Linked DNA regions of Mus musculus. The protein of the gene in region 1 purifies or fractionates together with the protein of each later gene. This does not show direct contact. Links are inferred from orthologs where the notes say so. Each region holds a gene or a part of one and is shown on either strand. Other genes may lie near its edges. The genes, in order: Bbs7 and Bbs4.

Region 1 (3,826 bases):
AAGTAGGAATGGGCAAGCAACCAGATAGAAGTTACCTAGCTGATTTCTAGATTTTGCTTTGTTTCATAAGAGGCTATCTGTATTCTTATTTATTTATTTATTTATTTATTTATTTATTTATTTATTTATTTGCTTATTTATCGTTTTATTTTTTTCTAGACATGGTATTACCATGTAGCTTCTGTATGGACCAGAACTTTATAGACCAGGATAGCTTCAAACTCACAGAAATCCACAAGTCTCTGCCTCCTAAGTGCTGGGGTCAAAGGTGTGTGCTATCATGCCTGCCTGCATTCTTATTGTTAAAAATCAATCACCAAGGACGTGTGAAAGGAGAGAACTGAACTCTTTCCTTCTGCTGCACTTATCTCTCCTTTCCTGCCTCTGAGATCACTCCATCCTCTGAACTTGCCTCTTTTACAACTGTGCCTGCTCCTTTTTTGCTTGTAGATATCTATAAATTTAAAAATGATTAATAAAGGATACACATATGCCTTTTTCCCAAGTTCTAAATCTACATTAAAATTTTGTAAGTGGCATAGTATATTCACTGAATTATGTAAGTGGCAAAATTGAAAACAAACAAATAAAACACATAGAAGGCGGCCCCAGCTTGTTTTCTTATCTAAGTAGTAGGCAAGTTTGTCCCTGTGCTGCGGTGAGTCTGCAGAATGCCAGAAGGCCGAGCCAGAGTTTTCTTACGAGCAGCTTGGGGTGCTCAGAGTTTTGAGGGTATTCTATGTAAAGCTCCAGATAATAACGGAAAAGACAGAAGAAATGACACTTGTTACTGGTAATGACGCTTGTTACTGGTGAGTTTTAAAAGGGGTTCACTAGTCTGTGGTTTGCAGATAAGCAAACATGTTAGAAATGTCAACACTCCTCTGTCTAGGGGTTCATTAAGTTGTCTGGTCTTGGATCTGGCTATTATGGATTTTCTTTTACTGATGAAATCCAAAGTTAAAAAATGAAAGCTATTGAAAGTAGAGAATATATTATGTATTTTTCTCCTTGGTATATATATTTTATTTCCAGTGTGTTAATATATGCAAAATTATTGACAAACACATTCATATTTATGACCTGTTTTCTTAAAGCATTTTTATTTGTTTAGATATTGATGTTTCTAATCATTTTCCATATTCTTTTAAATGTTTTTCAGTTTCAGTTTTTAAAATTCTTGTTTCCCTTCAGGGATCTGATGTGATGTATGAAATTGAGGTTCCTGGTCCACCCACCGTCTTAGCACTGCATAATGGAGATGGAGGTAATCGCATTCAGTATCACAGCTGGCCATGATGCAAAGCGGGGAGTTGTTACACAGTGTAGTAGTAGTGTGCTCTCTTCCTCTCACTTCCTGCTCAGTTATGAATTAGGAGTCAGTGAGCTTCCTCATCTTGAAGTCACCTGTAGGGAATACGCTTCACCTTGTGACTACATGGTGACGATTTCATTCTAATATCTATAATCATAGAAAGTAGTTACACGGTGTAGGGGAAACATGCTTGGTTCTCTTTGATGACAGACATTGTTGTCTTAATGAGAGCATAGACATGAAGGTCATATCGTTAGGATTCCATAGGCACCACCTCGAAGCAGAGGAATAATAATAGTCTCGAGTTAGAACTTAAGGGCCAGCTTTCTTAGAAAGAAGAAATGCTAGATAAAGTCATTTTAGTTCAGAAAAATTAAGTGTACACCATTGCATACACTAGCAAGATTTTGCTGAAAGGACCCAGATAGAGCTGTCTCTTGTGAGACTATGCCGGGGCCTTGCAAACACAGAAGTGGATGCTCACAGTCAGCTATTGGATGGATCACAGGGCCCCCAATGGAGGAGCTAGAGAAAGTACCCAAGGAGCTGAAGGGGTCTGCAATCCTATAGGTGGAACAACAATATGAACTAACCAGTACCCGCCCCCCCCCCCGAGCTCGTGTCTCTAGCTGCATATGAATTAGAAGATGGCCTAGTCGGCCATCAGTTGAAAGAGAGGCCCATTGGTTGTACAAACTTTATATGCCTCAGTACAGGGGAACGACAGGGCCAAGAAGTGGGAGTGGGTGGGGGAGTGTGTGGGGGACTTTTGGCATAGCATTGGAAATGTAAATGAAATAAATACCCAATAAAAAAAAGAACTTTAAAAAAAATAAAAGAAAAAAAAAAGAAAAGAAAAATTAGGTGTAACCAAAAGGTATTCTGGCATATATGGAATTTTTTTTCTAATTTTTATAAGTTTATTTTTGGATACATAAAACCAAACTATATATGAATGGTATCATGATGTTTTGATACATATATACCTAATATTTCCCCTTTAAAATTTTCCCTTAATGTAGCATTTGAAAAATGAGATTTTTACATTAAGAGGCTTTTAAAAGGCATTTGTGTTTTTGTTTGTAGTTGTATGTTTGCTTTAATTTTCACTAGGTGACTCTGGAGAAGGACTTCTGTTCGGCACATCAGATGGAAGACTTGGGCTTATTCAGATCACAACATCCAAACCAATACACAAATGGGAAATTCGAAATGACAAAAAGCGGGGAGGTAGGCCTCTGCACAGGTCAAGTTATGGCATGTCGGCAATCATTTAGTACAATAGAGTGTGCAATGCATTCTGTTTGATTTAGTTCTATTAGACAGCGAGCTTAGGGATTTACAGAACCACCTCTGATGTACCTAGTGTTTGCTTATGGCAACTGTTATACTATAGATGTAATTTTTAAAATTAGAAATGCTACTTGTAGTTTGGGATAGACATACAGGTTAATACCCTTTAGTCCATGTTAAACCTTTTAACTGGGATAGAGAATTAATTGGAATCTAGGATATAAAGAATGTAGTAGTGGGTCAGAAACTATTGCAAGTTTTTAAAGACATTATATATTTCCAAAGATTTACACCCAACTTGGCAGCCAGTGAGATGTCTCTTTATACGCACAGGCTATTGCTCATCTGTTCAGGTTTCCTTTAGCAGGTACTTCCTGTGGGCGAGAGCGCAGATGCTGGCGCTGTGCTCTCACTGCCCCTGGTCATCTGAAGAGAACACAGAAACAGTGTGTGTAGAGGGATGGTGGGCACAGCTCCTCGTAGACTCAGTGGTCAGAGGAAGAAGGTGCTGGAGGAAAGGCAAATTTGAGCTGAGATTTGAGGAAAGAATATTCTAAGAGGAAGAAAAATGAATAATTGCAAAACCCTTGAGATGGAGGTGAGCTAGATTCATTGGAGGGCAATGGAAAGACCTGTGTGGCTGAGCAGCAGTGTGGCCTGAGGAGAAGATGCAGGAGCAGGGACAAGGACTGTAGGTCCGTAAAGCCTCGGAAGAGGGGACTTCAGGTAGAGTGCAGTGGGTAGTCCTGGGAGAATTGTATGTGGAAGGTTTGACATGGTCAAATGGATCTGGGAAGAAACACACATTAGAAACATCAAGAGCTTGGAAGCTGTTGTAGTTACCATGGTTTATTATAGTTCAGAGCATCCTGGTTCATCCTTCCTATTATGGAAGTAGAAAGAAGAGAAAGTCGGGATATATGTGGAGGCCATGCATGGGTTTGATACAGAGAGAGAAAAGAGTGATGTCAGAGATAGAGCCTGGAGTTGTTTCGTCTGTACAGCTGAGAGGTGTAATTGACTGAATGGAGGCCAACTGGAGAGTGAGCAGTCCTGAAACACTGTAGTAGAGAAGTGAACGGTGCTTGGGTATGGAAGAGTGTGGGATGCCCGTGTGTACAGGGAGGTGCCAAACTGGACATAAGAGCCTAGAGCTTACTGAGGGTCAGAGCTAAAGGGAGATGTGAATGTGGGTGCATTGCTGTGTAAAGTGTGTTC
Region 2 (3,826 bases), on another chromosome or scaffold:
CTGTTAGCAAGTTCAAGGCCGACCAAAGATACAGAGGAAAACCTCATCTCAAAAAATTAAATTTAAAATAAACTACTATCTCATCCATAACAGAAAAAAAAATTTCTCAACCCCTAGTTAAAATCTAACTAGGCATGCTAGAAAAACATGAGAAAAGTTTCAAGCACCATGGCAGACGCTAGTGGTTCTCAGTAGAGAACAAATCACATGGGCTCTCTACTCTGACAGACTAGACCCAGGTACTTACTCTCAAAAGGCAGCATCTACAGCCATCCCAAGAGAATTAAGAAAGGCTTCCCAAAATGAAAAGCTTCAAACTGTGTGTTGGCAAGGGGTAGAAGAGGAGCTGAGGCAAATAAGAGGGTGGGAGAGAGGACAGAGTGTCATACTAAAGGGTTTGAGTACAATGAGAAAATCCCCACAGTAAGCAGGAAGGAACCTGCTCCTATTTGCTATATAGAAACACACAAAGAGACAAGATCATAGTCAAGGCTGGTAGATAAAATATTGTTTAGATTAAAATACTGATGTTTAAAGCAGGAAGCTATTAGCTGCCACACGGGGCTGTAGACACTGACAGTGTCTGTCTGCCCAGCCTGTCTCTCACCTTGCAAGCTTCATAATCCTTCCGGATATAGTGGAGATGGATCAGCCAGTTCTGTTTCTCCACAATAGGGAAGTCTGGAGCTAGAGAGCATATTTTGGCAAAACAAACAATACAGTAAGTGTTAAATTTTCTCCTTTAGCGGAGTTCTCATGTCTAAACCAACCACAAGCAATTACAATAGTGCATTAAATTCTTCATGGAATTTGGAAATGTATGGAAATATCTTGTTTTCCTAATTGTATTTACTTTGTGGCTCCCCATGTGTGGGTACACGTACTATAGCATACACAGAGGACAATGCGTGGGTACACGTACTATAGCATACACAGAGGACAATGCGTGGGTACACGTACTATAGCATACACAGAGGACAATGCGTGGGTACACGTACTATAGCATACACAGAGGACAATTTGAAGAAGCTGGTTCTCTCCTTCCACCATGTGGGTCCTAGGGATTGAAACTGGATCAGCAGACCCCAACACATACATTAAAAAAGAAGTTTTGAAACAAGTAAAAGAGGAAGCTGGGGATCTAGCTTAAGAGCACCTGCCTAGCATGTGCATAGTCTTAGGCTCAATCCCTAACACCACAAACATTTCAATTAAAATAAACAGCCCTATGGATGGCAGAACTAATGTCTTTTTGTTAACAATATTCCGGTATTTCTCTAATATCTGATGAGGAGGAGGACGTCCCATCCAAAGCCCTTGAGAATCCCCCAGTGACAGTCACAACCTGAAGTCAGTCCTCCTAAAGTGTCACAGGTTAGCAGATGGAGGATTCTTGTTCCTCTAAATCAACAACAATACATCACCTCTGAGACCAAAAATGTAGCACTTCACAGGCCGGGTCTTCACTAGGCTTCCAAGGATGAATTTTTATAAAACCGCACACTAGCCAAGCATGCAATATCCATAATCCCAGTAATTGGGAACTAAAGTATAGAAAGTGTCCCAAGTCAACAGCAATGGGTGCAGCCCATCTTAGAAATAAATATGCCATGTTTCCCTCTGGAAGCTCACAAAGCAAGGCCCTATCTCAAGGCAAAAATTTTTAAATAAAAAGTCAATGTGCCAGGCAGTGGTGGCACACACCTTTAATCCCAGCACTTGGGAGTCAGAGGCAGGCAGATTTCTGAGTTCGAGGCCAGCCTGGTCTACAGAGTGAGTTCCAGGACAGCCAGGGCTGTACAGAGAAACCCTGTCTTGAACCCCCCGCTCCCCAAAAAGTCAATGCAACACTTACTTAATATATACATAAAATTAGTGGAGGTTGTATAAGAAAGTAATGTTTATAACACAAATAGAAATTAATGAATACTGACATAATAACCAAAAACCATTTAAATACATTACAGGCCAATAAAATCTAATTAGATAAAATAAAAACTAGTCATTGTGTAAGAGCTGGGCCATGGGGCTGGAGAGATGGCTCAGTGGTTAAGAGCACTGACTGCTCTTTCAGAAGTCTTGAGTTCAATTCCCAGCAACCACATGGTGGCTCACAACCATCTGTAATGGGATACAGTGCCCTCTTCTGGTGTGTCTGAAGACAGTGACAGTGTATTCACATACATAAAATGAATAGATCTTTGAAAAATAAAAAGGAGAAAAAAGAGTTTGACCATTACTGGTTTTCCTAACATACTTTACAAAGCTCTGGTATGCATGAAACAGAAACAAACACAGATTCACACATGTGTATAGACACATATATAAAATAAAATTAAATACAGACCTTTTTTTGACCTAGGTTTTTGAGATTCAACAGATGCAGGAACCTGAGTTTTCTGAAATGAAAGAGGATGACTGTGTTAAAGCAGCACCATGTGCTAATTGCAAGCACATTCACATAACAAGAATGAGCAGTAACTCACCAGTCATGTATTCAATTCATAACATGAAGAAACATAAAGAGGCATTCTGAGTATGACTTATACCGCACTATTCTTTAGCTCTCCAACTTGCCCACAGTGCTTAATGCATAGTATATGTTTATTTATAAGTACCAAAATTACAATGTACAACATACACTCATATTAATATACTAAATTATGAAATACCTCATAAAGATGTTTAATGTTCTTCTTAGCAGCCAAATCAGAATGTTTTTTAACATTTGTATGTGTGTGTACATGCATATGTATGTACAGAGGGGACATCATTCAAGAATCTTTTGTCCCCTTCTGCAATGTGGGTTCCTCATGAGGACCTAACTCTTGTCAATCTTGGTAGCAAGCCCTTTTATCTTCCAAGCCACACCCCCAGCCATGGCCTCTGTTTGATAAAATGACAGTAGACAGTTCAGGCAGTAAAGAACCTGTGGGACAGGCTTGAAGACCCAAGTTCCAGGCACCGAGTAAAAACTGGGCACAGCATGTGTGTAATCTCGAGACAAGCACTGCTCATCATCACCAGCCTAGACAATCATTAGTTCCAGGTGCAGTCAGAGACACTGGCTAAAGAAATAAGGTGCAGAGCAATTGAGGAAGATGCTGGATATGAAGATATTGTACTAACTTAGCACTGCAACTTATTAGAAAATCTTTAAGTGGATTTTTCTTTTATCAGTTCCCTAATTTTATACATCATATACCACAATAAGGGCCAGTTGTGGTGGCACGTGCCATTAATCTTAGTACCCAGGAAGGCAGAGCCAGGAGGATATCAGAGTTGTTAACCTGATATATTTAGGACAGCCTTGCTATACAAGTGAGACTCTGTCTCAAAACAAAAACAAGAACAGCAAGACTATTTATATGCCTTAATATAAGGAGGGAAATATTGGTTGCAACATTTTCAGAAGCAATAAAAGAAAGTGTCTGAAAGATTTATTATTTTATGCATATAACTGTTTTGCCTGCATGTATATACACCAAGTATGTGCCTCATGCCCACAGATATCAGAAAAGGCATCAGATCTCCTGGAACTGGAGTCATGGATGTTTGTAAGCCATCACTGGGGTGCTGAGAATGGAACCTGGATCCTCTGCAAGAGCAACAAATGATTGTAACCACTGAGCCATCTCTCCAGCTACAAAACAAAAACTTTAATTTTAAAGGGTATACCCCAGACTGGCCTAAAACTCAGGCTCCTCCAACCTCTGCCTTCAACATATACAACAGTGTGCACCTGAATAACTGGCAAAAGAAACTTCACACTCAGCTGTACCTTAAAGCAAGCATGGTAATGCATGCCTATAAGCCATCACTTAGT

What was found.
Region 2: the proteins of Bbs7 (region 1) and Bbs4 purify together in Homo sapiens (co-immunoprecipitation; 7 studies listed by BioGRID and IntAct, counting the BioPlex papers as one, with this or other methods). This does not show direct contact. The link is inferred for Mus musculus from reciprocal best matches to the Homo sapiens genes BBS7 and BBS4.

What each region holds. Positions count from the first base shown.
Region 1 is NC_000069.6:36,603,125-36,606,950, reverse strand, and holds part of Bbs7 (Bardet-Biedl syndrome 7 protein homolog), read left to right. Parts: intron 1-663; exon of another isoform or gene 664-812; intron 813-1,194; coding exon 1,195-1,267; intron 1,268-2,428; coding exon 2,429-2,545; intron 2,546-3,826.
Region 2 is NC_000075.6:59,343,453-59,347,278, forward strand, and holds part of Bbs4 (Bardet-Biedl syndrome 4 protein homolog), read right to left. Parts: intron 2,400-3,826; coding exon 2,348-2,399; intron 688-2,347; coding exon 608-687; intron 1-607.